Danio rerio: one gene and its partners. The protein of the gene in region 2 purifies or fractionates together with the protein of the main gene of each other region. This does not show direct contact. Links are inferred from orthologs where the notes say so. Each region holds a gene or a part of one and is shown on either strand. Other genes may lie near its edges. The genes, in order: sec23a, sec13, mios and nup107.

The links.
Region 1: the proteins of sec13 (region 2) and sec23a fractionate together in Homo sapiens (co-fractionation; 3 studies listed by BioGRID and IntAct, with this or other methods). This does not show direct contact. The link is inferred for Danio rerio from reciprocal best matches to the Homo sapiens genes SEC13 and SEC23A.
Region 3: the proteins of sec13 (region 2) and mios purify together in Homo sapiens (affinity purification with mass spectrometry; 5 studies listed by BioGRID and IntAct, counting the BioPlex papers as one, with this or other methods). This does not show direct contact. The link is inferred for Danio rerio from reciprocal best matches to the Homo sapiens genes SEC13 and MIOS.
Region 4: the proteins of sec13 (region 2) and nup107 purify together in Homo sapiens (affinity purification with mass spectrometry; 8 studies listed by BioGRID and IntAct, counting the BioPlex papers as one, with this or other methods). This does not show direct contact. The link is inferred for Danio rerio from reciprocal best matches to the Homo sapiens genes SEC13 and NUP107.

The regions. Positions count from the first base shown.
Region 1 is NC_133192.1:11,320,328-11,328,259, forward strand, and holds part of sec23a (protein transport protein Sec23A), read left to right. Parts: intron 1-1,058; coding exon 1,059-1,136; intron 1,137-1,222; coding exon 1,223-1,384; intron 1,385-4,976; coding exon 4,977-5,063; intron 5,064-5,493; coding exon 5,494-5,649; exon of another isoform or gene 5,650-7,555; intron 7,556-7,932.
Region 2 is NC_133197.1:32,950,376-32,958,307, reverse strand, and holds part of sec13 (protein SEC13 homolog), read right to left. Parts: intron 4,770-7,932; coding exon 4,636-4,769; intron 1-4,635. UniProt on the Homo sapiens protein: Functions as a component of the nuclear pore complex (NPC) and the COPII coat. At the endoplasmic reticulum, SEC13 is involved in the biogenesis of COPII-coated vesicles.
Region 3 is NC_133191.1:51,756,697-51,764,628, forward strand, and holds part of mios (GATOR2 complex protein MIOS), read right to left. Parts: intron 7,393-7,932; coding exon 7,327-7,392; intron 7,250-7,326; coding exon 7,091-7,249; intron 5,281-7,090; coding exon 5,128-5,280; intron 2,618-5,127; coding exon 2,413-2,617; intron 2,301-2,412; coding exon 2,171-2,300; intron 1-2,170. UniProt on the Homo sapiens protein: As a component of the GATOR2 complex, functions as an activator of the amino acid-sensing branch of the mTORC1 signaling pathway. The GATOR2 complex indirectly activates mTORC1 through the inhibition of the GATOR1 subcomplex.
Region 4 is NC_133179.1:23,334,920-23,342,851, forward strand, and holds part of nup107 (nuclear pore complex protein Nup107), read right to left. Parts: intron 7,739-7,932; coding exon 7,648-7,738; intron 6,994-7,647; coding exon 6,914-6,993; intron 6,563-6,913; coding exon 6,503-6,562; intron 6,420-6,502; coding exon 6,274-6,419; intron 6,191-6,273; coding exon 6,142-6,190; intron 4,560-6,141; coding exon 4,490-4,559; intron 4,404-4,489; coding exon 4,288-4,403; intron 4,196-4,287; coding exon 4,006-4,195; intron 3,916-4,005; coding exon 3,803-3,915; intron 2,468-3,802; coding exon 2,365-2,467; intron 1,817-2,364; coding exon 1,656-1,816; intron 157-1,655; coding exon 31-156; intron 1-30. UniProt on the Homo sapiens protein: Plays a role in the nuclear pore complex (NPC) assembly and/or maintenance. Required for the assembly of peripheral proteins into the NPC. May anchor NUP62 to the NPC. Involved in nephrogenesis.

The DNA of each region.
Region 1 (7,932 bases), on a different chromosome or scaffold from region 2:
ACTTCATTTCACTGTGAAGTCATTTACAAACAAAGCACAATTCAGCACTTGATTTTTAGTAAGACTGAAACCACAAGATAGTGCTTGATGTGCCAACTATATTCACCTTAATCTCCATATATGAGCGGTCGCAGCCATTTGAATCTTTTGAATCATTAAAAACAGCTTGTTTCACTGCTTGATGTTGCAAATTGATTTTTTTTATTATATATTCTAGTTTGTCTGTGTAATCATGCAAACACATCTTAGTAGAGCTAGCAGTTTGACCGTTTTCTGCCCATTATTGTTTCTAGTCATTTCTCCCATAGGCAACTTAATCAGAAGTTCTAAAACAATCGCAAAAACGTGCACACTTCCAACAAGGTCAATTGGATGCAACAGTACCAAATGTTGCACCCCCCAAATATAATTAACTGTAATTTATTACATATTCACCATTTCTTTTTCTGTTTAAATAGTTTATACTTAGTATTTTAGGGCTATATTTAACCTAAATCAAAGCTGTGTCCATTAATAAAAGATGTAAGCTGTCACATGCAAAAAGTTTACATCGTGGGCACACAGCGGTCCTTTAAAGCCAGTCATACCTAGGGTTGGGTATTGTTTGGGGTTATTTCGATACTGGTGCTAAATTGACTTTTAAAACGTTACCGGTGCCTGAACTGATACTTTTGAGGCACACAATTAAGGTGGATGACTCTAGAAAAATGTTTTATTTTTACAAAAAAATTAAATGTAAAACTTTTTCCTGACCATCTATATAGTTTGGTTGTGTAGACCTGCATTTGCCTCTCATTTTTTAGTTCTACAGCATGAATCAGTGGGCGGAGTTTAGACATACTGTTACATAATCAATTGGCAGATTCCACAGTCTGTCATGTTGCCAGACTGGCAGAAAGTTTTGAGCTCTAAAACTTGCAGGATGCTTTTATGGTAACTGTAAAAAGGGTGTTTTGATTTTCTCAGTTTATGTCCGCTGGGTAAATAATCACTACCTTAACATGTAGCACTACAGTAAATGCACAGCAAATTTACTAAACATTTTCTTCAATTTACAGTGCCAGAAGTTTGGAGATTATCATAAAGAAGATCCCAACTCTTTCCGTTTCTCCGAGACGTTCTCGCTGTATCCTCAGGTACACTTTTGTCTCTCACTCTGAGACTGCACTGAATCTCACTCTAAAGCAGTGTGAAAATGAGGTGTTGATGTTGTTTTTGGCAGTTTATGTTCCATCTGAGGAGGTCGCCGTTCCTGCAAGTGTTCAACAACAGTCCTGATGAAAGCACCTATTACAGGCATCAATTCATGAGGCAGGACCTGACCCAGTCTCTGATAATGGTACAGCCCATTCTGTATGCTTACTCCTTCAACGGACCGCCAGAGGTAAGCATGCAAACCTTCCAACACATTTATGGTTTGCGGGATTTGACTGACTGTTGAGGGTTTCCATTAAAGTGTCAGCTAACCTAGTAATGATCATTCTGTTAGATACTCACCCTCATGTCCAAACCATACCTGTCAACCCTCCCGTTTTTCCTGGGATTCTCCCGTATTTTACAGTTCTATCCCGCTATCATCCTGTAAAGGTATTTTCCCGTATTTCTCCCATATTTTCTGTCTTTCTCTGAAGGGTGACTAATAAACATTTAAAGAGTCAAGCCTTCCTATTGACCTTATTCTAAAATGCGGAAGTGCGCCTGTTTTTGCGATTGTCTTAGAACTTCCGATTCAGTCTCCTATGGGAGAAATGACCAGGAATAATAAACGGCAGAAAATGGCCAAACTACTTGCTCAACAAACAAATGTTTGCATGACTACACAGACCAAGTAGCATAATATAATAAGAAAATATTAAATTGCAACATCAAGCAGCGTAACGAGCAGTTGTTAACGTCAAAAAATGAATGGAAGTGAATGTGACCGGAAGTCGCGAGACAAAAGATTCAAATGGCAGCGCCCACTCGTCAGCTGAGAATAAGGTGAATACGCAATCCCATACCGCCGAACCATTAGGGGCCGCCCCTTGCTCTTAAATGTGAGTCTTTTCTGTGCTTTCACTTTGTTTAGGCATGAAAACACTTTGAAATAAACATAAAAACTCGGGCGAATAGCAGCGCCGCATTTGATTTGAGTTGAATATGAATCACTTCGGGATTTTGTCTGAAACAGGTATGACTGTACAGACATCTTTATGATCAGTGCATGCATGATCATAGGGATAACCAGATAAACAATAATTCTTGGCTAGAAATTGCAACAGCAGTGGGAAAGGAGGAGAGTTTTTGTAAGCGTTTAGAAAAACTTGAGGTATAGGGATAAGTTTGTTAAAACCAACAAGAGAGGCCATGCAAAAGTGGAGACCCAGGGGGTTTTAATATTACAGAATATGTTTTGCCACCATTCATAGGTTTTACACTGATGTATATATTACAATTTTGAATTTAAAACAATGTAATAGTTACAAACTAAAATTAAGTAACAACAAATTATTTCTTTAATAACTGGAAAGGAATATTTGAACCTGTCTGTTTACAATATACTAATGCCCTATTTCTAAGCTGTATTGGTGATAATGGTCAGCAATGTTAGACCATTATTCCCTTTTTAGCTTTAAAAAATCTTGAATGGCTATAAAAATATTTATAATCATTATAATAAATTATAAAAAAAAATAACTAGTTAACCTTGAATGTTATTAATGATATGACTTGGTTACCGAAACTTCCTACTTCTGTTTATTCGTCTGACTTTGTGGTGAGTTTCTTTTGACCGCCTGTCGTTTTAAAGAGCCTCGTTCGTTTCATGAGGTACACGTGCAGCCAGCAGAGGTTCAGTGGTGCATCCAACCTGTCTTCAGTACTGTTTAATTTAAATACATTTATTTTGTCACTAAATTTGTGATTTTTTTTTTCTCTTCATTTTCTCTTTATGTGTATGTGTGTTTTTAATATTGTAATATAGGACGTAAACTTAGGGCTCTATTGTGACGGTCCATGCGCAGAGCGCAAAACGCAGGGGTCAAACGCTTTCAGGGCGTGTCAGAACGCATTTTTGCTAATTTACGGACGGGAAAACCTGCTTTGCGCCAAGGCGCATGGGCTAAAAGGGTTGAGTTTATTTTCTTAATGAGTTATAGGTGTGTTTTGAGAATAAACCAATTAGAGTCTCATCTCCCATTCCCTTTAAGAGCCAGCTGCGTCGTGCCAAGAGCGCATTCGCTATTTACAGGACGCAAAGTAAGTCTAAGTGGAAAAACTGAGCATTTCACAAGCAAACAGTTAACAGTTTTTTAACAGAAAACTGTTAAACAGGGCATCTACTGCGTGAGAATGAGAGATAATGGATCTACTTTCAGTTTCGCTCTTGGATAGGGAAAATATTTGTTTCAAAACTATTTCTAAATTCAGTTCTAATTTCTAGCAAACAAATAAATGAACAATAATGACCAAGTGTGGTCAAAATACTGAGTTATTTCCAAATACACCTGCCATGCCCCATATGGTCTAAAACCTGACAGGTGGGCAAATCTAAGCTTGTTTTTAATAAAACAAATATAAATATGGATATAATAAATAATACTGCTAATAATAATAACATTATACAAAAGCAAATTGTTATGAATGAACTTCATCTCGGGAGGTTTATCAGAAGACATAAAAGCAGTGATTTTTCATATTTATGTAGGCTAGAAAATAATATGTTTTGTAATATTTTAATCATTTATATTTATATTCTATATCTATTCTTATTATATACTATATATATCCTTAATATTTAATTTTTTCATATGTAAAGATATTTGCCTATTGCTCTCTTGTGCGTATTAAGCAGTGCGTAAGCGAGGCGCAACTCTGCGCCGGAGTTTAGACCGGGTTACTTTCGGTCTAATGAAAAATCTATTATAGTTTCTCAAAATAGCAACGCGCCAGCGGTCCGCCTCAGAACGCCTCCCTTTTTAGACCAGAACGCCTATTGGCGCACAAATGAGCGCTAATGCATTTGCTATTTAAACAGCGTAGCGCAACGCCTCAAAACGACTCTTGCGCCAAGCTGAAACTACCAAAAGACTACTGCGCCGCGCCTTGCGCCACACTGCGCCGAGTGGATGATAGGGTCCTTAGTACTTAATGGTCTTATATTTGACATTATGATATCTGCAGAAACCCTGTGTTGGTGCAGATGTTCATAAGCAGTTCTTTTGTTTATTGTTTTTGGAGTACTTAAACAAGACAATTCCAACTATGCTTGAATGTGTTTTATAATAAATGCTGGAAAGTTTTGTTAATAGTGGGGCAAGAGCTCTCTCAAATGACTTTTTATTTAAAAGATTTTTGAATGCATCAAATAAAAGACAGGTAATAAATGTCAAATCATGGAAAATTATGTTAATGGAAGGGAAAGAGTTGAGTTAAATGACTAAACTTTTTTTCTAATGCCGTTGGAAGCATTATCAAACGTCAAAAACATTCCATTAACATCAAGTGTTAATAAGTATTCACAGTACATCATGTGCCATGACATGTGACATTGAATCTAAAGTGCCTTGTCATGATAACTGTGCACATGATGTCCCCTGAGTCAACAGATTAAAATGTACGTTTAATTAGTGCGCTGTGATCTTATTACCATTCAAAGCTCAGACTATCACTGGCTGTTATTGTTTTTAAACCTATTTTACTAAAAGGCCTGAAAGTTGCACGTATTTTCTCACACATTTTGTGAGGGTAAAAACTACTTCATTAATAGGTTGTAGAAACTTCTTTAGTTTAGTAGAGTGAATTAAACATCATCAAGATGATGATACAACAAGCAACTCACACTGACTTGTATTATTCTAATCTGCTTTAATGGAGGGCTCAGTGTTTTTCCCCTGACGCTGAGACCAGAAGCAGCTGAGCTTTCAGGAAAGATGTTTATCAAAGCATCTAATTGAGAGTGACAGTCCAGTAAATGCTTTTGTTTCTTGTTGTTGTAGCCTGTGTTGCTGGACAGCAGCAGTATCTTGCCCGACCGCATCCTCCTCATGGACACTTTCTTCCAGATTCTGATTTACCACGGAGAGGTAAGATTGAGGAGGAGAAACAGCACGCGTCCTGCTTTCCTGCTGTGATTTATTTCCCCGGTGACTAGATAGACGTTGGTTTAGCGCCAAGTCTTTTTCATGTTTTCAATAATTAAGAATACAGTCTGCTTTCTCAGTCCCGCTATGAGAACGGTTCAATAATCTGTGCGCATGAAATCCAAGCCAGTAAACTGAAGCAAGTTTAAACTTGGCTGCGTTTCAGAGGACGGACGTTTTCTGATGAAACACTTGTAGGTGTCTCGCTGAAGTACATGCTAATGAAGTGAAATTTGAAACAAATGCAGTGAGATGTTCCCATAGTCACAGCTCAGCAAACACACTTGCACCAGTAAACAAGACGAGTGTTCAGATTTGGCTTGTTGTTGTTGTGTGAGTTGTGACAGATGCACTGTGTTTTCCCCTCATGTAGACTGTGTCTCAGTGGCGTAAAGCCGGGTACCAGGACATGCCCGAGTATGAGAACTTCCGCCACCTGCTTCAGGCTCCAGTCGATGATGCTCAGGAGCTTCTACACACTCGTTTCCCCATGCCACGCTACATCGACACTGAGCACGGCGGCAGTCAGGTACAAACAACATTAAATCATGCCACAGGAAATGTACAGCTGAAGTCAAAGTTATTAGCCCTTGTGTGATTTTCTTTTTTTTTTTTCAAATATTTCCCAGATGATGTTTAACAGAGCAAGGAAATTTTCACAGTATTTCCTATAATATTTTTTCTTCTGGAGAAAGTCTTAATTGTTTTATTTCGGCTTGAGTAAAAGCAGTTTTTAATTTTTAAACACCATTTTAAGGATAAAATTATTAGTCCCTTTAAGCTCTTTTTTCTTTCCCATTATCTAACAACTTGCCTAATGACTAGGGATGTAACGGTATCAGAATTTCACGGTACGATAATACCTCGTTATAAACGGCACGGTACGGTATTTATTGAATAATTTACAGGAAAAACAAAACTAATGAAAAGACTCGAAAAAAGTGCCAAAAGTGTTTATTTACCTTAGCACTGAACATATTAATGACATACAAATTTATCTATCTGTATTTATCCATCCATCTATCTGTAAGTTTCGAAACAGGAACTTCAATTTTTCAATTTTAATAACAAAAAACTAATAAACCATATAAAAAAAATAAAGTTTCAATTTAGTATTGTTGAAAACTCGTCACATTCAACATTTAATCACTCACTCACTTAGATAGAGATGGGTTTTTTAAGGAATTATCATATAACTATAATCTGGTAAAAGCTGGGATCTCTGGGCATGTCCCCTGCAACAGAAAAAAGCCCTCTCATTTGGGACTGAAGTTTCTGGGACAGAGAGATATGATTTAGCCAAGGTTGACAGCAGTGGGTAACGTTGTGCATTGTCTTTCCACCACTTGAGAGGACAAGCCATGAGTGAGATAGAGGTCTCTTTACGGTACAAGTCAATGTCTGCATCAATCTAACAAGTGTGCTGTGTTCTGCAGTCCCCATGACTGTTTTTAGTCGTATTTCCCGACTTATATTTCACCACAGTTTGGCAGTGCCTGCATACCGTTTTTGTCTTTGTCTGTCACCTTTTCTCCTTTTTCGTATCTTTTTAGAAAGAAACCGAAATGCTTCCACACATCCGATTTAAAACCCGCTTTAGGTTCGATCATTTCCAGCTCTTTTTCTTTCACGCTACTAGCAGCACACTCCATTTCCGCATTACTGGATCTGTAGTGACAACAGACCGCAAAGGATGATGGCCACGCCTAGGCTGATGGGAATTGTAGTTCCCGCTACCTCCCATTCGCTTCATTTGCCTAAGCAAACTTTTCTCAGAAATCTAGTTTTATTGAGTCATGCGACTACGGTAATATTGAAAAAAATTACTATTGCGGTATGATGGTATTTACAATATTGTTACATCCCTACTAATTACCATAACCTGGGGTGCTTAATTTAGACTAAAATAAAAGAAAGGCTAGAATTTATAATTTTTTAAAAAACATTTTAAGTTCAATATTATTAGCCCCCTTAAGCAGTATTTTTATTCAATAGTCTACTGAACAAACAATCATTATACAGTGACTTGCCTAATTACCCCAACTTGCCTAATTAACCTAGTTAAGCCTTTTACTGTCACTTTAAGCTGAATACAAGTGTCTTGAAAAATAGCTAGTCAAATATTATGTACTGTCATCAAGGCAAATATAAAAGAAATCAGTTATTAGAAATTAATTATTAAAACCAAATACTGCTGGCAGAAACAAAACAAGTCAAAACTGAACTATAATAAGCTCGCAACCTACTTAGCTATATTGGCAATTTGGTCAGTGACCCTTTATGCCACCTAATATAGGCTAGTCCAGCCTGAAATGTAAGTTTGTTCATGGGGCAGATGATGTCAGATTTTTGTTGCTGACTTGAAATATGTCATTTGTTCACAATACTGATCCATCCACAGAGTTTGTAATATAGTCATATGTTTCCAAATAAAAGTGCAGCTGTTTAGAGGCCATTTCTGGTTAATGGTGTCAGAATTTTCCGGTATTTCGCTTTTTTGAGGTCATTCTGGTAATTTTCAGTATATTTACCGGTATTACTATGTGAAAGGGGCTAATGATGCCATGGGAGAGAGAACTTGTAAACGGCAGTGAAGCAACGCAAGTAAAACCGTAAAAACTATACAAATTCCCAATTAGTATAATAACCCATTATTTACTCAAGCCTCGTATAGAATAATTATCATATGTAAGGTTGAATATTCAATGTTCAGAAAACAGCAATCCAAACTTAAAATATATATTAGAAAGCCTAATTGGATGTAAGAGTAGGATAAACTTTGCTCATTCCCTCATTCCTCATTTCTTTGTTA
Region 2 (7,932 bases):
AAAGTGGTAGCCTTTTACAGATTTTAAAGAAAAATCTAAATATTAAAAAAGAAACAAAAGCTGGACCACAATAGATCAATGTTAAATCAAATGCTTAAATAATGTAGCCTAGTTTACAGCAAGCATCCTGTTTTTAGTTAGATTGTGCCATGTCATATACAGTAAGCCCGTCTGCTATTTTTAAATAAGATTTATTATTTGAGCAATCACCAGAACTATAAAAACAGTTTTATGGTATAGGTGTAACAGTATCGGTGCATCTCTAATAGATAGAAAGATAGATATATAGATATATAGATAGACCAATGGTGCTCTATTGGATTGAAATCTGGTGACTGTGGAGGCCATTTGAGCACAGTAAACTCATTGTCTTGTTCAAAAGACCAGTCTGAGATGATTTGCGCTTTATGACATGGCGCGTTATCCTGCTGGAAGTAGCCTTCAGAAGATGGGTACACTGTGGTCATAAAGGGATGGACATCGTCAGCAACAATACTCAAGTAAGCTGTGGCATTGCTTGAATTGGTACTAAAGGGCCAAAAGTGTGCCAAGAAAATATCTCCCACATCATTACACCACCACCACCACCACCACCGCCGCCGCCATCCTGAACCGTTGATATAAGGCAGGATGGATCTATGCTTTCCTGTTGTTGATACCAAATTCAATGCATGTCGCAGAAGAAATTAAGAATTGTCAGACCAGGCAACCTGCTGCAACTACTGCTGTAGCCCATCCGCCTCAAGTGCAAGAGGTTGTGCGCTCAGTGATTCTCTTCTGCAAGCCTCGGTTGTAAAAAGAGCTTATTTGAGTTACTGTTGCCTTTCTATCAGCTTGAACCAGTCTGGCCATTCTCCTCTGACCTCTGGCATCAACAAGGCATTTGCACTCACAGACCTGCCGCTCACTGGATATTTTCTTTTTTTCGGACCATTCTCTGTAAACCCTAGAGATGATTGTGCATGAAAATTCCAGTGGATCAGCAGTTTCTGAAATACTCAGACCAGACCGTCTGGCACCAACAACCATGCCACATTCAAAATAACTTAAATCACCTTTCTTTGCCATTCTGATGCCCGGCTTGAACTGCAGCAGATGAAATTGACCATTAATTAAACATCTTTTTAAAGGGTCACGAAACACCAAAACACATTTTTTTAAGCTGTTGACAGCAAGTGTGCCGCAAGCCTGCGTTTGAGTGAAGGTCTCGGCTGTTAGATCGCCCCCTGGGGGCTGGCTGCAGTACAAGTCATAAAGCCCGCCTCCTCCGTGTTAATGAAGGAGCCTTGAGCCCAAATAAAAAAATTAATTACACTTGCAATAAAATGTCCCTAAAGATGGTTCTGGTCGATTAAAGCTCTGGTTATTGTGCTGAAATAGGTGCAGATCCTCATTTTTGTAAACAGTTTGTTTTTAGCAGTAATTTAATGCTGGGCGTGTCATCGTGATTGACAGCTGTGATTGACAGTTTCTCAAAGCGCGGCGTCTGAGCTTCGGCAGAAGACTGAAGTGTTATTACTCGATTTCTGTGATATTTTACTATGACAAAATGAGTTCAGCAGTAAACTACAGTTTCTGACATACATGATCTGGTGGAACACTGTTTATTCGCTAAGGTCAGAGCTTTTTTCGGGCTTTATTAGTTTGCTAATACACGCCTAACCCCCCAGATAGCAAAATACACTGGGGCCAGTTGTTGCCTGCCGGAGACTTACCCCTCAGACTGACTACCTCTGCTGGACCTACTCCGGATGCCTGGACTCACTGCCCGATTCCAGCTTGAGTCAATTGAGCCAGATGCGGGGGCCGAGCGAGCAGGCGCTGCCGCATGCGAGCCGGAATCAGCCCGCGACGCCGCGAGTAGGTTATGTGCGCTGCTGCCCGGAGCTGGCGCGATTGAATCTTCATTATATAAAACCCTCACATTTGTTAACGTTATTACAACCATTTTTGTTGATATAACAACAAACGCATGCTACTATGTGAACGCAAAGTGTATCACTGAGTTTAACCTTTGAATAAAGATGCAAACAGCATACATAGCAATTATTTAAATAAAGGACAAAATAAATAACAATAAACCTGTATCGATTGCACAAGTATTAAATAATAATACAATTGAATACATTTTGTAGTGCACAAGAATTAAGAAATACGAAAATGACAATAAAACTGCACAATAAAATAAACCCATTTAAGTACGGGGAAAATACAGGAGATCGTTAGCAGTAATTCTCTTTATGTGTCTAAAATAATAATCTCCACGTTGATCTCCTGTGTAAGGTTATTTGAACTTGCTTTACAGGACGTCTCTGCATTTTAAGTTTTGGCATGTTATTAAGTAATCTACTGAATTTGCTGTTATAAATCATTATAAGGTTCTTGAAATCGAATCTTATATAACCTAATAGAGCTGTAAATGTTAGATATTATTTATTTACATCATTTACTGTTGGCGTTTTATTTGAACACTCCAGCTAACATTAAAATTATTGTAAATTCCTCGTTGCCAGATATAATGAAGGCATCGAATAAACCAAATGAAAACGGAGGCAAAAAATTAAATAAATAAACAATTCAAGCGAAAATGAATAAACAATATACTAGTGATGTTGCAGCAGATAGACATTGGATTAATAGTGCAAAGTTTTTTTGCACAAATTGACAAATTGCAGGGTTGGGATGTGTAAATATCCTGTTAATATTTAGTAATCTTGTTGTATTTATCTTCTAAACGCACGATTGTTCCCGCATGGTAAATCGTTATGGTGTGTAGGCTATATTTTGGGTTCTGTTGATGGCTAATTAAAAATAAAAACCTTTCTAAAAATGTATGTGTTGTTTATATGTTATTGTTCATATTTTACAAGTGTTATTTCTACCCCTATGAAGATAACAAATACCAACAACAAACATAACAATAAGAGAATATATTATTTGTGCTCATATTCAGGCTAGAGTGTATAAAAGATCGTTCATTTCTGCAGTCCACCATGTATTGCTTTTATTAAAGTTTAACAGCTTACATCACACCGTTTTTAAACCGTATATTATTGTGTTTTTTTAATGTAAGTGCTTCTATTTACATCAGTGAGCGTTTGTTATAGTGCACACACCGGCAGTCGAGTGAGAAGTTCGGGGGGCGTGGGTGATTTAACATAAAGCGTTTGGTTAGAAGCTCGACTCCGCTCATTTTCGCGGCTCCTCCTCTGGCTCCATCAGACAGTCCTTCTGCGCATGTCAAGGCTCCAATTTCAGCAGTCTGTTGCGACAGTTTGTGCCCGTCAAGCAGGCGTTTTGCCCTCAAGGCGTTCAATGGGAAAAGGGGCTGTCGCGTCGTCCATATTTTTTACAGTCATTGGTTGACAGTCGTATATGTGTCCCACACTGCTATAAACACTATTAGGACACATATATTTCACTAAAAAGTGTAAATTGGTTGTTTTTGCGTTATTTCAAGCAAATTTGTACTTCCGGTTTGAAACGAATTTTTGAAGCTGCGTCACGGTCATGACATAATAGCGTGTATTCCAGCGTGCAGACTGGGCGTCTGTGCCAGAGTGTGTCTTATTACGTCTTACAGCCTGCTGCATTAATGCATGAGTAAAGCTTGGTTCAAACCAATCAGCGCGCTCTATTGTGCAGCTTCATTAATATTTATTACTGTCACAGTGTTTAGATGACAGAGACGCCACGTTGTGTTGGCAAAACAAGCGTGAAGTGTTGCTTTTATAGTTTGCTGCCGTTAAGTTTTGTTTTCATTTTCTCTCTGTGAGAGCGCAGCTGGAGTCACGCGTAGATTACAGTGTACGCAACGCTCGACAACAATAACTTACGTGTCTAAGGAGGATTATTGTTTACCTGAGAGCTGTTCTCATCTGCAAACGCTGAGATCCGGATTCGCTTGTAGTCTCCTCTTAATAAAGACGCGGCTCTAGTTGCTGGTGATTGTCCTGTCTTTACAGATTTGGTAAGTGAGCGACCAGTGCTCTTTGTTTATTCAGTTCGTATTTTATTCGTATCGACCAAACTATTGCACCGAGTGTAAACAAGTTAGCACTACAACCAAACCATAACCTCGTGCAGGATTTTGTGACCGGAATAGCACACGCGGCTTTCTGACGCTACCTGCCGAGTGCATCTAAGTTTCCGGGAAATGCGGAGGGTTTTTTTCTCTCATTCGCCGTATCAATGCGGTATCAAACATTGCATAAAAATACACACTTAGAGCAGTTCCTTGAATCAAATATCTCATTTGTCGTGAGGGACATGAATGAATTCCCTTAATGAAAGAGCCAAACAGCAGTTAAAGTCCACCATTTAATCATTTGGCAAATAATTCGACTACAGATGTCCATGTAAACACAGTTACATTGTCCGCTGTGGGTGTGTGTTTTGATTCTGAAATTCAGCGCGCCCAAATACACTCCCACACCAAGCCTCTTTTCTTCCTCCGACACTCCCCCCTAAACAAAGCTGGACACGCCCACTTTTCTGACTTTTTCCAAAATAGAGGTGTAAAAACACCCTGCTGAAAAGAGGGGGTTTCATGGCCCTTTAAATAACCAAACAGTATTTCTTAGAGCCCTGGACATGTAAATATTAGGATGTTGTAAACTCAAAGGCAAAACTTACAGTGTGTGCATTGTTGATCTTCTTAATATCCCAGTGTCCGTCTCCAGAACAGGTTAACACTGAGATGGCCCCGTCTGAGCTACCGCAGGCCAGAATCAGGCCAAAGTCGTATGGGCCCCAGCAAACCGAATTGACTGTGGAAGAGCAAAGTGTTTGATTTAACCAACAGCATGATGAATGTCTGTCTCAGTCAGTATGTGCCTTTCCATTTCTAATTAAATTACACAAACTGCGAATTGAAAGAAAAATGACTAATGGAAAGCATCAATTTAGCAAAAATGCCCATATAGTGCACAAAACGTTTATGTTCACAATCATGAGAGTTTTTAGGCTAGTCAACAAAGTAATATTTTACAGAAGTGCAATGGATTTTTTTTTCATTTACAGGTTACATGATTTTTCTTAAAACATAACACATTTATTTGTAGAAACTGGCTTTCTTAGCACTGATGTACAAAACGAGAGGCTTTAAAACTCAAAAGGGATGATCCCTTTATCCAAAAATCTTGAATCCTCTGTAAAATCTCCCCTTAAAACAATGCATTTACTGCTCATTAATGCTTGTCTGACATGCATGTCTGCTTCTAATAAAAATAATGGCTAGTGTGTAGGTTGCAGATAAGCCAACTATTAAAAAAAAAATCACTATTATATACAGAGGAAGCAATACAATATGCTAGATTTCTTGCTAGTGGCTATTTTGAAATAAAGGGCTCTATTTTGACTGTCCATGCGCAGAGCGCAAAACGCAGGGCGCAAACGCTTTCAGGGCATGTCAGAACGCATTTTTGCTAACTTAAGGACGGGAAAATCCGCTTTGCGCCATGGCGCATGGTCTAAAAGGGTTGAGTTTATTTTCTTAATGAGTTATAGGTGTGTTTTGAGAATAAACCAATCAGAGTCTCATCTTCCATTACCTTTAAGAGCCAGCTGCGTCGCACCATTAGCGCATTGCTATTAACATGACGTAAAGTAAGTTCACTTTCACTTTTGCTCTCGTGGATAAGGAAACCTTACCGCACAGACATAAATTAGCCTTTAAATAATTAGTTTCGTTTGTTAAACTGTTGTTATACAGTTGAAGTCAGAATTATTAGCCCTCTTGAATATTAGCAAACCTTTTCCTGCCCAATTTCTGTTTCATGGAAAGAATATTTTATTAACTTATTTCTGAACATAATAGTCTCATTTCTAATTACTGATTTCTTTTTGTCTTTGCTATATTGACAGCACATAATATTTTATTAGATATTTTTCAAAATACAAGCATTCAGATTAAAGTGCAGTTCAAAGGCTTAATTAGAGTAATAAGGCAAGTCATTATAACGGTAGTTTATTCTGCAGACAATCAAAAATATATTTTGCTTAAGGGGGCTAATAATATTGACCTTAAATTGGTTTCAAAATATTTAAACCTTTCTTTAATCTAGCTAAAATAAAACAAATAGAAGAAAAAATATTATAGGAAATACTGTTAAAATTCCTTGCTCTGTTAAACATAATTTGGGAAATATTTAAAAAAAAAAAAAAAAATCTCAGGAGCGCTAAAAATTTTGACTTTAACTGGCAATGGTTTTGAATAATCGTGATTACAATTATGACCAAAATAATCGTGATTATGATTTTTCCCAAAATCGAGCAGCCCTACTATTATATATGTATTTTTAAGTACCAAAAAAAAAATCTAAACACATGCTTAAAATTCCAACATAATAGTGAAAATAATTAAAATAAATAACTTTAAATAATTATTTAAATTTTGCTCACTCGCGCAATCTGCTTGTCAACGTGTCGTGAAGGCAAAATCAAAACAAAAATGGCAGACAAACGTAAATGCAGTGATTATTCAGAGGCGAAGAAAAAGATTAGACAGTATGACAAAGCCTACCTAGATTTTGGTTTTATTGAAGGCCAAGACAAGTTAAAACTGATTAATTAATATTTTCTATACATATTACTATATATTAATATTACACAAACACACACACACACATACATATATATATATATATATATATATATATATATATATATATATATATATATATATATATATATACACAGTACATATGTGTGTGCGTGCGTGTGTATTTATATGGTGGGGGGGCTCCAATGTTTGTATATGTTCATGGGGGGAGCCCCAAAGAAAAAGGTTGGGAACCACTGGTGGTGTTGAGTTTTTTTGAACCTGTTTTTTTTTTTTTTTTTTTCAGGTGAGTTGGGTCATCTTTAGCACACAGTAAAATAGTACAATAAATAAAGTGGCATTGCAAAAAGGTGCATACACTATTTATGAGTTTGTCCACCTAACAATCCCATTTTGCACTGCATGAACAAAACTTTAGTGAGATAAACTGATAAAACAGATATTTTCCTTTGAGGACATAATTTAAAGTTGAAAACAGGTAATAAATAGCAATATAATCGCACAATAGCACTATAATACTGTATCTAGGGCTGCTCGATTTTGGGAAAAATCATAATCACGATTATTTTGGTCACAATTGTAATCACGATTATTCAAAACCATTACTGTTTAAGTCAAAATAATTAGCGCTCCTGGTAATTTTTTTTTAAATAAATATTTTCCAAATGATGTTTAACTGGAATTTAACCGTATTTCCTCTAATACTTTTTTCTCCTGGTGAAAGGCTTTTTTATTTTGGCTAGAATAAAAGCAGGTTTAAATATTTTGAAACCCATTTTAAAGTCTATAATATTAGCCCCCTTAAGCTATATATTTTTTGATTGTCTGCAGAAGAAACTACTGTTATACAATAACTTGCCTAATTACACTAATTAAGCCTTTAAATCGCACTTTGAATCTGAATGCTTGTATTTTGAAAAATATCTAGTCAAATATTATGTGCTGTCATCATGACAAAGATAAAATAAATCAGTTCAGAAATCTTCTTTCCATTAAACAGAAAACGGGAGAAGAGAGTTGCTAATATTCAGGAGGGCTAGTATTTCTCACTTCAACTGCATATACAGTTATTTTCCCACCTGCAAACATAAGAGAAATAAAAACAATAGAATAAAAATATGAAGCAAACTGTGCTTTATGCATCTTCAATGTCAGAAAAACACTTTAGCTGCAGCAGTCCTTGAGTCAAGAGCAGAAAGACATGTTCTCCATTTATTGTTTGATTAATAATTATAAAAACAGGCGGTAGAAGGATTATCGCGCACTGTCTCTTAAAATGGTTTCTCTTTCGCATGTCTTTTGATTTTCAACACGCGTACAACTAGAAAGGGGGCAGTAAATGATGCAATAATCGTTTATCTCGATTAATG
Region 3 (7,932 bases), on a different chromosome or scaffold from region 2:
ATGTTACATCAAGGAAGCAGTGTTAAATTGTGTTAACAGCATGTTAGAAATGGGTCAAAAGTTAATACAAAGCCCATTCTAAGCATTAGCAGTATGCTAGACATGCAACATGCTAACACACAGTGATTTGTTAAAAACCTTGTAAAAAAATGAGCTAACAATATGTTATATCATGGTAGTAACGTTTTAATTCATGCGAGCAATGTAGTACAACATGAGGAAGCTTTGTGTTAAATTGTGTTTAAACAGCATGTTAGCAAAGTGTGGAAAGTTAATACTAAGCACATTCTAAGCATTAGCAGCATCCTAGAAGTGTGAAAAAACATGTTAGCAACAGGCTGAAACATTGACTTGTTTAAAAACTTGTTAAAATGAGCTAACAATGTGTTAAATGAGCTAACAATGTGTTATATCATGGTAGTAATGTGTTAATTCATGCTAACAATGTGTTAAAACATGCTATCAGTATAGTGAGGGAGCTATGTGTTAAATAGTGTTTAAACAGCATGTTAGCAATGTGTGAAAAATAATACTAAGCAAGGACATACTAAGCATTAGCAGCATCCTAGAAGTGTGTTAAAACATGCAAGCAACATGTTAAAACACAGTGGTTTATCAAAAAAAAAAAAATTTAAAAGTATTTTATGATGGTACTAGTGTGTTAATTTATGCTAACAATGTATAACAACATGCTTCCAGTATATTATATTGAGGAAGCTGTGACAAATTGTGTTTAAACAGCATGTTAACAATATGTGAAAAGTTACTACTAAGCACATTCTCATCCTGCGTTCACACCAGACGCGGAACACATGTCACGCGCAAGTGATTTACATGTTAAGTCAATGCAAACATGCGAATAAACATCCTGTGGCACGATTCGCGCGAGTGGCGCGATACAGGCGAATTGAATATTTTAAGTGTTTGATCGCTGGAGTTTGAAAATCTGAACTTCAGCGGACATTCGCGCCACGTTAACCAATCAGCAACTTGCTCTTATGGGGGCGTGATTGTGACGTATCGCCTGTTGTTGGTGTCCCAGGGGAAATCCTCCAGCCGACACTGACAAAAAGTTAATCAAACTGGGCTCGGCTCAGTCAGAAGCACCGCTGAAAGCCTCCATCATCCAGGTTAAGTTTCTGGAGGAGTTTATGAGCTCACAGAGCTGGATGCACCTCTGAAAGGATCTAGTGGACTTAGACACGGCCCTGCAGTTATCGACACTGTTTTTCAGCCTTCATAAAGCACATAAACACTGTTATTTTCTTCATAAAATCCATGTTAGCCATTTAGTAACAAAGCTAGTCACCGGGCAGATAGAAGCCCTGCCCATCAAGCGAATCCACATCTATTCTGAAGTGAATTTGACGTGCAAATGAAGCGGGGTTTGACGCGCGAATGAAGCAAGTAAACTCAAATGTTCACGTGGCTATTTATGCACGAACATCGCGATTTATCCGCGCGTTTCGCATCTGGTGTAAACACAGCATAAGAATTAGTAGCAACATAGAAGCGTTTTTAAACATGTTAGAAACATGCTAAAACAGTGATTTGTTACAAATCTGATTAAAAATGAGCTAATGTGTTATATCATGGTATTAATGTGTTAATTCATGTTAAAAAACATGTCAGCATTTTCATTTAGCATAACGTGAAGTTAGAAACACTTTTAATGCATTAAACCCATTTTTTGCAGCCATGGTAAATAATGCTAGCACGCTATGCATACAACAGCGACAGTTTCAAACATACGAGCAATGTGTTAAAACCTCAAAAGCATAAGCAAACAAAGCACCAAATCATTGTAGCTAAATCAATGTGTTATCTTTATTTTTAAAATAAAAAGTTTACTGACCCCCAAACGCAGCATCATTGTATTTATCATGGTATTAATGTGTAAATTCATGTTAAAAAAACATGTTAGCATTATCATTTAGCATTATGTGAAGTTAGAAACACTATCGATGCATTAAATCCATGCTAGGAATGGTAAATGATGCTAACATGCTATGCGTTTAAACACTAGTGTCATATTCAAACATATTAGCAATGTGTTAAAATGTGCTAAATCATAGCAGCTAAATCTAAGTGTTATCTTTATTTTAAAAATAAAACATTTACTGTCCCCCAAATGCAGCATCATTGCATTGTATATGAATATGGCTCTTACCTGAACCAGCTAAGCATATGACCCGCATGGCCACCATGCCGGCAGTTGTGACACCAGGTAAACCAGTTATTAAACTGCGCTAGTTTTTTGTCTCGTGTAAGATCAGCTTTCTCGTCTGCTTTTCCTGTGCCTGATATGATGAAATAAGTGAAATTCAGAAATTAATATTATATTATTGTAGATATGATATTACTATAGTACATTATAGTATCAAACAGAAGTTTAAATGATCCATCAGTCACCTGGGCAGCTGGAAACAGGGGTGCCCATGTTCATTAAGCAGAGGGCACAGCGTGGGAGTGGTTTACGACAGCCCGGGCAACTGGTGACCTTTGACTTGGTGGGTGACCCGCTGACCCCGTACTGACTGAACCCACGGCCCTGATGTGGCATCGCTGAGCAGCTGTATGATATAGACTTCCCACAGAAATTGCAGCTGACAAACACCTGCACAGATGCAAGAGAATGACAATAAATGGAACAAAAGTCAACAGAAATTGATCAGGATAGGATATAAAATTAATAAATCTTTCTTGTGCATCAAATCAGGATATGAGAATGATTTCTGAATTATAATATCAATGTAGACTGTCGAAGTATTATGTGATGATGCTGAAAATTCAGCTTTGCATTAAGAGATACATTCATTAATTCTCCTTCGGCTTAGTCCCTTTATTCATTAGGGGTCCACCAACTTATCCAGAATATGTTCTACCCAGCGGATGCCATTCCAGCTGCAACCCAGTACTGGGAAATACCCATACACGCTCATTCACACACATACACTATGACCAAGTTAGTTTATTCAATTCACCTATAGCGTATGTGTTTGGACTGTGGGGGAAACCAGAGCACCCAGAGGAAACCCACACCAACACGAGAACATGCAAACTCCACACAGAAATGCCAGCTGACCCAGCCAGCACTCTGAGCCACCATGCCGCCCAGCTGCATTCATATATATATATTCAAATAGAAAACTTAAATACAGTATTACTGCTTTACTGTAAATGTGCTCAAATAAATTAAAAAGAATTTTAAAATTTACTCATTCATTCATTCATTCATTCATTTTCATGTCGGCTTAGTCCCTTTATTAATCTGGCGTCGTCACAGCGCAATGAACCGCCAGCAAGTTTTTACGCAGCGGATGCCCTTCCATCCGCAACCCATCTCTGGGAAACATCCACACACACTCATACACTACGGACAATTCGGCCTACCCAATTCACCTGTACCACATGTCTTTGGACAGTGGGGGAAACTGGAGCACCCGGAGGAAACCGAGGCTCGAACCAGCGACCTTCTTGCTGTGAGGCGAACGTGCTACCCACTGCGACATTTAAAAATTATATAAACAAAAATCTTATAAACTAGAAATTACAGATGAATTGATATTGCTATTAGACCGATAATAATTATCCGTCAAGCCATCTTTAAGGGTCACACTTGACTCAAAACTGAACGTAGCCTTAAAATTAAACTTCTCCGGAAAATTATTACAATAAATTTTTGCTCAGTTGTATATTTGTGTTTTTGTTTTATTTGATTTAGAATTTTGAGCAGATTTTAAGATACTATTTGGAATACTTCTACAATTTACAGTAATAAAATGATTAACCCTACTGTGAATTTTGTATGTTTTTTCAAATATTTTTCAGGGTATATGCAGGAATCGTAAAGGTAATTTCAATACCTTTTTAAAGACCTTCTCAGAATATTTTAAGACCCCATCGCACCTCAAGTTCTAGTAAGTATCAAACGTTTAATTTAATAAACAGTTGTTAATAAACATTTGTAGTTAAATATATCACTGGAGCCCAACCATGCAACAGAACTCAGATGAGCTTTGAAGAATAAATTATGTGGTTGTTTTCAGCGACAGGCTTCAGCTACTGTTTAAACCCATCTTTCTCCAACCAGGAGAATGCAAACTTACATTTTTCCATTTTGCCATCTACTTGCATAGTTTCGCTACATGTGGAGAGCATTACATCACCTTCCCGCGTTTGTCGCAAATTACGTGACATCACCCGGATGAAGGAGTTTGGCCGGACGCGCCCCGGCCTGAACCAATCATGTGGATCAAGCATGCTGTTGTTAATATTAGTAGGAAAATAAATATATTTCTGCTTTTTTTGGAGTCAAACACTTTGGACAATGCTTGAACAAAATTTAAGACCTCGTTAGAACACGATTAGGACCTTAATAACTTTAAAGGGCTCAATTTTACTCATGATTGATTTATCAACCCAATAGGCCAGTCATTTTCATTCGGCGGCCATGTTTGAAATGCCTCTCAGGCAGTATGCTTGGGCATTCTGTTTGAATTGGGAAACATCAAATTCTCCAAACTGCTTGCCAAGCTTACGATAGAATTTCATATTAGAAATCATCAATAGAATTAAACAACAATCGTCTCTTTAGTTTCATTTCTAAACATTCGAATCAGACATAATTTGCAGAAACTCACATCTGGCTCAAGCCCCTCCCCCAGAGAATCATCAGTTTTTAGCGATCAATGATTGGCTCCTGTACTAGAAGGCGGGGCTTCATTCGCTATATTGACCGATACATTTTTCCTCAATCAAATTTATATGAGTGACGTGTCTTGTGTATTCTATAGTCTTTAAATTGCCAAACATTAAGCATAATAATTTTAATAACTGAAGGAGGCTAATAAGACAGAAAAATCTAATGTCATAACCAGTAAATTAAAATGTAATTTAATTTAACATATGCATACAAACACATGCACACATAAATATATGTAGCATTTTTAAGGCCTTTATTAAAGTAAGAATAGTGCCATCTGGAGGTTTTTTACTACCCACCAAGTGTCATGCCATTCATTTTTGATCAAATAACCCATTATATATATCAAAAACAAATTTGGGCAGTGTTTATATCTGCCGTATGCACTTGAAACAACTATCAGAAAGAAACATGATGCTAACCTGTGCAAGTGGTTTTGAGCTGGGATCCAATTTGCTTCTATGAATGTCAAATTCAGCCCGTTTATGCCAGAACCTCCAGGCGTCCAACAGGTTACGATAGTTCTCGATCCAACACTGCACCCGAGGGTCCTTCAGCACCTCTCCTGGGGAACCCTAAAACACAACAAACTTATTATTCTGTTGATGTACAGGTCAACTTTTTGAGCAATGTTGTCAGGCAGAATGATGTTGATTGGCTACTTTTCCATTTAGAATGACCAACAATATTGTATTTGTAACCCATTGCCCTGATAAGTTATTCTGTGTCTCCTGGTTGCCCATTTATGACATTTTTTCCCATAAGGTTTTTTGCCCAATAGCATTGCTCAAAAAGGTTGCCCTGTCTATCATCAGCATTAGAATGATTTTTGAAAGATCACTCCCAAAAAAGATCCACCTATATACATAAAAAAAAGGGAATTGCCTGAAATATACGACAGAGAGGTAGATTATAATTAGGGGTGTCACGATTTCGATTTTTAATCGAAATCAATCGAAATTTATGCTCAATTTCGATTATCGAATCAAAAATAGAATCGTCGATGCTGCCACGCCCCCATGTCACGTTAGCTTGGCTTGCCAAGCGTGAAAAAACAGGCTTGTTGAAGGGCTTGGTAAACTGCAGACGCAGGAGACCCGTCGACAGAGCTTAAATCCTCTCCTCTTTCAATGAAGTCGCCGGTGTGTAAGTATTTTGGATGTCCAGTTAGTTATGTTGACAACGTTCGTGTTGTCGTCAAAAAAAAACACAGTTTGCAAGCTCTGCTATGTACGTATTACGTTTGGGATGATAGACGATGGGCGCATCGCGATCCTCCGCCCCGCACCCGTTGCAAATCCGCTTGCGAAAAAAACACACTCAGGCCCTGTTTACACTAATATGTCTTTGTTTTTAAATGGCATTTTAGAACGACAACGATCCACATCCACAGTGTCGTGTAGCATTTCTGAGCAGCCCTCCTTACTCACTACCGCTGAAAACGCACATCACGTGACCACACACACTCATTCACACACAGATAGGACGCACACACATTGTCATGCGCTCGAGACAGCGGGTCAAGGAAGTCAGCGAGTCAGTAGATTGCTTCCATCTTTTACTTTCACACAAGTACTTAGTCATTTTAGCGAACACCTCAGATACTGTTGGCTGGTTCCTGTTGGTTGTGCGTCTTTTTTACCGACGCCATTATAACGACACAGATCACTGCCTATTCACGAGTCCCGCAGAAAAAAGTGATTGACAGGTGGTAATTATGTGTGTATCTTGCCTTTATTCATTTACTGTATGATTTGTTTATGGGTAAAACAAAGACCATGCAAGTCAGGTAGTTTAAAAGGTAGGCTACTAATAATTAATTCGTTATTAATTAATTAATTATTCATAATCGAAAATCGAATCGAATCGTGACTTTAGAATCAAAAATGTAATCGAATCGCGGATTTGGAGGATCGTGACACCCTTAATTATAATAAAAACAATAATAGTGATATACTATATTATATTAGGTGCAAAGTCAGAATTAAAAGAGCTTGTTTTCCTGCTTGTGTCATTTATTTTGGCTGCGGAATCCTTCTTTAACCGATAGATAATGAGAATGATGAATTGTCCAGTGGTAGAAAGAGTAATGGCTCACTTTTCATAAGATTTCCTGTTAACTCTCAGACCTCTGATTTTCACTTTTTTATTTCAGGAATAAGTTACATTTTACAATATGTTCAAATAGACAAATACATTTTCTGCTTTTACTGGAATAAAAGCTTTCTTGCTAAAAGTTTAAATAACATTAAAATCATCAGTGACCACAAACTTCTGAAAACAAGTGTATATTATAATACAAAACATAAATAGACTAAACCTAGAGCAGATAATTTATTTTCATGTAACTTTTTCCTCATGTAGTGTTTCTGGACATGCGCTGACCTTAAGCATGCAGAAGCTGGCTGTCTGTACATCTCCCGTTCGGTCTACGTAACTCTCCATGAGGTCGACTCCGTCTTTGGTCAGTCCTGTTAGCAGGATTCCCTCCAGGTTACCAGCCTCCTTCATCTCATTGGTCAGTTTGTCTATGTAACGAGGCAACTTCAGGGAAAGAAAAAAGTACAGTGCATTACATACTGCACAGTGATTTGATGAAAGTATGAGTGAACGGGTCTTACCTGAGCATCATTTAGAAACATGCACGCAAAGGCCACTCTGTCCCTGACCGCCACACGACTCTCATACTGCAAAACAGAAAACCACATCATATTACTTTTTCACCTGACGAAGGCAACATACTGACAAACTAATCAATCTTATTATGAAATTTATGCTAAATAATGTTAACATCATGCTAAAATCATGCTAGCAATGTGAAACATCATGGAAGAAACATCCTACCAACAAAACAACAGGATAGCAATGCAAAATCATGATTGGCATTATTAAAAAGCATGCTAAAATAAATTATTCTAACATTGTTATAAATCGTGCTAAAACATGCTAGCAACATTCTAGAATCTAAACCATTTTAACAACATGCAAGCAATGCTAAATTAAGATTAGCAAAAAATAAATAAAAATGCTAAAATACTACCAACATGGTAAACCGTACTAAATACCAAATGCACATGGTGCTAAGTCAAAGCAGAAACATATTGGCAACATGTTAAATCCTGCTATCAATGTTAATTCATGTTAACATGTTAAAACCATACTAGCAATGTGCAAAAGCATTTTGCTAAATCATGTTAAAACAAGCCAGAAACATGCCAAGCACTGCT
Region 4 (7,932 bases), on a different chromosome or scaffold from region 2:
GTCTGCGGTGTGTGGATGTCCCGTCCTGACCTTGTACTCAGCCTCTTTCATCTCATGAGCCACTTTCTCTGTAAACTTGGCTTGAGCAGGAGCTGTGGGCTTCACCGGAGGACAGTTCATGTGCTTGAACCACTCGTTAAACGCTTCGTGTGCTTCCTGTAAAAAAGAAGAAAGATCTTCCCACTTAAAGTGCATTCATTATAGTGACAGGCAACTGAGCTATCGCCAAACACCTCCCCTCAACCACAGATGAGCCAATGACAGTGGATTATCAGATGCATTGGGCTCTGAAATAGGTTTGGAAAAACACTGAAAGATCCAAAAGCTAAAACGTTGTGCTTGTAACAATGATTTCTGGCATCTTAAGGGAAAGGGCAATTGAATTATTTTTTTATATTTAAATTTGATTAATTTCCATTTTTATAAGCATCAGTTTTTGTTTTCAATGCTAAGATGACACCACAGAAGATGGGCCAAGTATAGCTCCATCCCTGTTCAAAGTCAAGACAAGATTGTATTTATGATGTTAGTTTTAGTAAATAAAGTAGTAAAGATCAAGGACATTTCTTTCTATTTGCTGTATTGAAAACACTGAGTCACCACTTTGTGTTGTATCAAACTGAACCGTCAATTTAGTGAACAATTACACCAGGGATGTCAAACTCAATTCCTGGAGGGCCGCAGCACTGCACTGTTTAGTTCTAACTCTGCTCCAACACACTTACCAGTAGTTTTCAAACAAGCCTGAAGGACTCAATTAGTTTGATCAGGTGTGTTTAATTAGGGTTGGAACTAAACTGTGAAGAACTGCGGCCCTCCTGGAATTGAGTTTGACATCCCTGCATTACACCCTTTGAGCTAATGTTACCTAAACAATAATGAACTATTGTTATATTATACAGGGAACATAGATATGTAGTGGTAACATTAGCTAGCTCTCACCTATCAGTGCCTCTATACTAAACTGGGGTTAAAATGTCAACTCATTTATTGGTACAAGAACAGTGTGGATCCTGGATCCTTTGACAACTGAAACATGCTTGCATTGGCATCTGTAAACCCTTGCTTTCGAATTGTTGTTGTTACCCACCATATAAACATTATCATCTTTTATAAATTAGTCCACAACATATTTAAATGACACTTGAAGAAACACTCCACTTTTTAACAAATAGGCTCATTTTGAAACCCCCGTAGAGGTAAACATTTTTAACATTTTAATCTATTAATTCAATCTCCGGGTCTCACAGGAGCCCTTTAGCTTAGCTTAGCATAAATCACTGAGGCAGATTAGGCCATTAGCATTTTGCTCAAAATTTAAAATAAAAAAAGTTTTAATAATTTTCCCATTTAAAGCTTGACACTTCTGTAGTTGCATCATGTACAAAGACGGACAGGGATTAAAAATTGCTACGTTTTAGGTTGATAAGGTTATGAAGCATACTCTCATTCTAGCGTAATAATCAAGAAACTTTCCTGCCATATCATGGCTGATGCAGGCGCACTGATATTACACATTGATGTCATCCATTTACGTAGCAGGTAACTATTTTTAGGTGTTGCAAAATATCGCTGCGTCTGCTGCAGACATTGTACAGCAGAAAAGTTCCTTGATTTGACTTTAGGTCAATTCATTGTACAACAGCACTACTCACCAGATAAGCACGAATGCATAGATGTTCACGAATGGCATTCTCCTCTTCTGCAGGAAGTGGTGTGTCCATACCCTGCTCCTCCCACTGCCGGTAGATCTCACGCATGGAGTCTTCGGGCACTTTGGCGAAGACCATCTTAGCAGCGTCATGCTTCTTAGATGCTGTATTGTACATGAGTATAATAGAACAACACTGCAAATCAAAGAACTGATCTAATCTATCTGCTGTGTGTTAAAAAGAAACAAACATTCAATGTGTGATGTATGCATGCGAATCAATGAAGATTTCTATTTCTCTATTTTAGTTTTCCTTTAAATTTGTTTATATCTGCTGTTTACAGCAGACTTAAACTTACAAACTGGTCTGTTTACAAATGGCTTCTATTGATTCTCATTTGCAAGGTACTCTGGATAAAAGTAGAGAAATGTAAATGCTAAAATTCTTTAAAGGATTAATATGGATTTGTTACAAAGTGAGAGGATCTGAAATACATTTTTATAATGTTTGTGAAAGTCTAGTTTATTTAGTGCTACCATTAGCCATTTTTTACACAACCTACAAATGAGCTTGTACAACTTATCAGTGTTTCAGTGAAATTGTGTGTGAGACTGTAACTAATTTTTAAAGAGGAGGCAGTTGATGATATATAAAATGACCAATTACAACATTAATAGATTTTGATATACTATTCTGGCTAGGAAAGTCTCACCTAAGAACTTCCTCATGATGGCGTTGCTCTGTTTAAGTGCTTCAGCTCGTTGAGCAGGATCAAACACCAACCAGTCAATCACATCAATCTTCTGCTGATCCTCCTGTACAGAGAGGAAAAGTTGAATAGCAACACCTACTGCAATGGCTAACCTTAACTAATAAATGAGCTATACATAATGAGTTTATTAGTTTTTTTTTGTAAGCTAATTTTACTTAACTAACATCAATAAATCCAGTGCTTTCCACACATAGATTTTACTTGGGCGACTTTACTACTGCCTAGGTATATTAACGGCCGTCCAAGTATATTGGAGGACCGTTTTTTATTTTTTTTTAAATAATATTATCATCCTTTTACACTTTTTTCGCATCCATTAATCTGTTTGATTAACTAGTGGAAAATCTTCTCTCACCCAACACATTTCATACTGCTTATTGTGTGTGCGCGAGAAAACTGTCAACAACACAGTCTCACATGCTCTGCAGAGACCAACAGAGAGATGCCTATTTGAGGTTTAAAATTGCATCTGGCGACTCCAGCCAGTGTTTGTAAATCTCCTATAATATCCAGGAGTCAACTTTTACTTTCGCTTTCTTAAGTTGTTGCATTTTTGTATTATTCTTTTAATAAAGACTACTTTCCGTTTGGCTTCGCAGCTGACAGCGTGCACTGCGGCGAGACAGAAAGAAAAAGTAAATAACAGATTCTTTAAACGATAAAAATTTATATATATTACTATATGCTCAAAGAGAATAAAATGACATTTAAACTGCCTGTAAAATATATGTACACCATTAGAAATGGTCAATAAACTAATTTACCCTATTTAATAAAATCTAAACTTTCTTTTCTAATCATTAATAAATATCCATTTTAGAGATATGTCTGTTTTTATTCATTTTTCCTGTCATTTATTTCAAATTTGTTGTATGTTATTAATTTGATAATGTGAATAACTTACTTATTTTATACATATCTAAAATGCTTTGGCAATACTGTACTAAATATCATGCCAGTAAAGCATGTACATAAAGCTTTTTAGTTGTAGGAGTATTACATTCTTTCAGTAGTCATTTATCAGTTAATAGAGGCTAATTAGTTAACAAGTTATAATGGAAGGAGCTATAATAGAAGGAGAAGAAAATTCAAGAAAGACTGCAAGGATGGAAAAATAAAATATTTATATTTTACCACTGTATTTATATTGATTTTGTAGTATAATATCTGCGGAGATGTAAACATGTTTAATGTTGCAATTTTAAAAAAACACAAAACTACAATTTAACATTAAACATGTTTACATCTCCAAAATCTTATTTTAAAATCCAAAATCGTATGGATTAATGTGAAATTTTAAATAAAAAAGTAAACTAATATTTTTCCATCAAACCTGTGGTAAACAAGTTTTCATAAATGAAGAGTTCATCATTAGTACCACTGTAGTTGCCGTGTCCAGTGCAGGCGTCAGGTCATGGTGGGAAAATTCATCTGTGTCTCTCTCTCTGATGGTTTCCACTACCGTTTTTGTGATTGCTGCCACTTCCAAACCTAAATACCACAAAAAAATTGGTGACATTATAACCATTGGTGTATTAAGTATGTAATGCAAGAGGACTCTTTAGTGCAAAATAAACCTGCCTGCTTGTGTTGCGAGCTCCAGACAGTGTTTGCGCTGCTCAGTCTCAGTGACTTCCTCCAGGAACTGAGCATATTGTGACACAGCCAAATCTGCAGGAAGGTGACTGACGTAAAACGCAATGAGCTCCACCTGCTTTTCCTTCACCAACAGCGAGATGTAGGCCTTCAGGACATCTACACACACCTCCTCCTGATGAGTTTAAAACAAACGTGAACATTTTACTCACTCAGTGGTAATTAATAAGACATGGTTTTTAAAAATATATATGCGTTTGTATGTACCTTAAGCTGCATGCCCAAACTGCGATAAAACAACACTAAATGTGACATGAAGCGTAAGAGATGGGCTGGCAAAGGTGTATTTCTTCCCAACCAATCACTGAACTCCTCAAGAAGACCTTTAGATAAATTAAGAGGATGTTATTTCTTTGTTAAATAATAAATAAAAAAAAGAGTCTCAAAATAAAAATTTTCTGAAACATACCATCAAGATCTCCAAGAATCACAAACTTCTGAATCACATGGTAGTGCTCCTTGGTTGCGTCCAGAACTCTCTGTCAACAAAACATTTGTGAAGGATCAGAAAATAAACACCAATTTCCCTCTTTACATGACATTACCAATCAAAAATTGAAAACTTTACATCTGTGAAGTTATCACCCCATAAAAACAAATAATCACCAAAACTATGCCATTCGTTTGTGCTGAATTGTGCCGCAAAAATATTAAGCATTATTTTTTTGACCGTGTGACATCACTTTCCACCCCGTATTGCTCAAATGACAAATCAGCAAAGGTGCTTTTTCTGATAAAAAAAGATTTCAGAATAACTTATATTGGCCTAGACTATTTTAATATCTAAAAATAAAGCACCACAAACAAAAATTATATCAGCACAAACAAATTAAAATATTTTAGAATATCATACATGTGGGGTGGCTGGTGATGTCATTGTCTTTAATTCAATATTTTACTAATAGAAGCAGCACTAACGACACATTCATAGGTACAATCCAGTACAAATAAAACACACACAAACGAGACTATTTTGGTAAATATGGAGCAACTAGAGTCGAGACACCTCTGGATGATCTAGTATTATTTTTAGGCCTACAAATAATATTTTTTTGCAGTACAAACGAGCACAAATTGTGAGGAAACGAAAATAATCAATTCATGCACGAATATAAATATAAATATATTTTGGTTATATGTAAACAATGAAAATAGATAAAGTGTTTGCTTAACGGCACAAACCAGGCACAAACGAATGACACCGGTTTGGTGCGAATAAGAGGAAATGGGGTGGAGAGTGACGTCATGGCTCCCCAAATATTTTGCTCTTATCTAAACGAGGAAAACAGATATAGAGTTTGCTTTAAGGGCAAAAAAAAGCACAAATTGAGTACAAACGACCTGTGCTGATTTGAAGTCATTTGAGCAACATGGGGTGGAAAGTGACGTCACACAGTCAAAAAAATAATGCTTAATATCTCAGACCCCAAACCGGCACAAATTTTCTTTTTTGCGACACAAATCAGCACAAACGAATGGTATAGTTTTGGGGATTATTTTTTATTATGGGTGCCATCTTCACGGAGGTGAAAACTTTTTAGACGTTTTGCCTGTTTGATTACATGACAATGTTGTTTTTGGGTCTGAAAAGGCATACATTTTTCAAGTTTTTAAAAAAATACCCTCTTTTTTGGGGCAGTGAATAAACTAAGTCTTTGAAAGTGATGCCATTATGTTTGGGTGAGTGTAGATTAAAGCACAGCACAAACAAACACAACAATGACAAAGTTTGTGGTACTGTAGTTGGTGCTTAAGTATTTGCTAAAACTTCATCAGCAAAGTGTGGATTTACTTCACATTAGAACCAAATGTTGAGATTCATCTTGAACACACAGCAAACTAGCAGAAAGCACACCATCCCTTACTTACAAATACTGTTTACTATCAAGGTGACAGCTTGAAACACTGGCCTGCCATTGATAATATAGTGCTTTTTTAAAGTTTTGTGGATTGGTGTAAACACAGATCATTAAAAAATGTTGTCATGTACATTTTATCAAAAAGCTACATTGTTGTTGTCTAAACATTGTTACATATTAAACCTCATTCATTTATTCTTACCTTGGACTCTGTTGCTTGAATCTCTTCAAAGACTTTCTCCAGCGTCCAACTAAATAATAAAAAGAATTAATCATTAGGTGAAAAAGGATATAAAAGGAGAGAATGCATATTAGAAAGTCACTGTAGTCCTACTTGGTCTCCAGGAAGTCTCTGGGCAGCTCCTCCAGCTCTTCACTGCCCAGACCAGAAGAACAGATCTCCTGCTCGACCAGAGTGTCCACCATCACCCGGAAATAAGCCCATACTGTGTCTTCCCAGGACTCACACACCGGCAACAGCTGCAGGACACAAGCACATGATCAAATAATGACTAAAGCAAGAGGAAATGGTGTAAATATGAGTTAAAAATATGACTATTTACCTGTTTGAGGTTTCCGCTCAACGCAGCATAGATAGCCCTTTCATATTTGTTGAACTGCTCCTGAAACAGCAACATAAAGCAGACTCTTAACTGAAATATTTATAGACATTATGTAAAGAGGATTTAATGAATATTTTTATATTTTCTTTTCGAACTAATATGCTTATGCTATAAACCCTTTTATGTATTGAGCAGCAGAGTGATGTTTTAAACTTTATTCAAATATATTTGTACAGCCTTTTCCAAAATACTGTTACCAAAAAGTAAACCATAATAAATATATTACATGACCATAAAGTTTGACCAGCTCACAACCAAATTTACTATATTTAGGATTTTCTTTTCCCTCAACTAAAATTTCCCAAACTTTCTAGCGCATGGATTTAGACCTCAGATCTATAGTTTTCTCACCTCTTCTGCCATTCTCCAGCAGCAAACCTTCCAGACGCTGCGATGAGGATTTCCCTCCACAGGCTGAAGCTCACCACCCCCTGAACACACACACAGACAGTTCACTGTATCTGACTGGTAAATGTCCTTGACTTTCAGTTGATTATGACCACTGGATAAATAATAATAAAAATAGTAGTATTTTAAAGAGTCTGAAGTATTTTTAACTTCTAGCTAATTCAATATTCATAAATAAAAAAACATAATAAAGCATGCTAAAACTATACCCATGGTCATTTCAAATAACTACAATGTTTCTTTAAAATTACTGATAATTTACAATATATAAATGTAGTTACATTTACAGCAAGTGATTTCATTGGCAGTTCACCTAAAATAATCATCTTCACGCTTATGCTGTTCTAAACTCATATAAATCTCCTTGGCCCATCATTTAGCAATGACTGAACTGGCATTTTGATTATTTGATGTCATCTACAGATGTGCCATCTATAAAAACTCAGATGTGTACTAAAATTGCCTTTAGATTTAAATGAATAAGCTTTTAATGTAGAAACAACTCTCTCAGTTTTGATAACAACAATCTTCATTGTGTTTTGAAGATATATTAAATTATTATGGTATTGGAATTATATCAGGTTAAAAAAAACATAACAATAATAAAGTTTATAAAATATAGATAACATAAGCATAGTTAAATATTGGTTTTTGTTAGTAGGTATGTGTGTGTTGACCTCCATTGATGTTGGGGTCATGGTAGAGTTTCCAGCCTTCCAAAGTGGCAGCACGCCAGGCCTGACCACAGCGCTTACACAACCTCTGAGCCTGCAAATGCACACAGAGAGAGACAAATTTATAAAGTGACATTTTCAGTATCCACAATTCTGCAGTTAAAAAAAGGAGATAAATTTCAGACTTTACTGTCATATATTCCCTTTGAAGCTCTAAAAAATTTAATTATTTTTATAGATATGCCATACATTTCTGAATGATTGTCACCATAGAAAAGCCACCTGGCT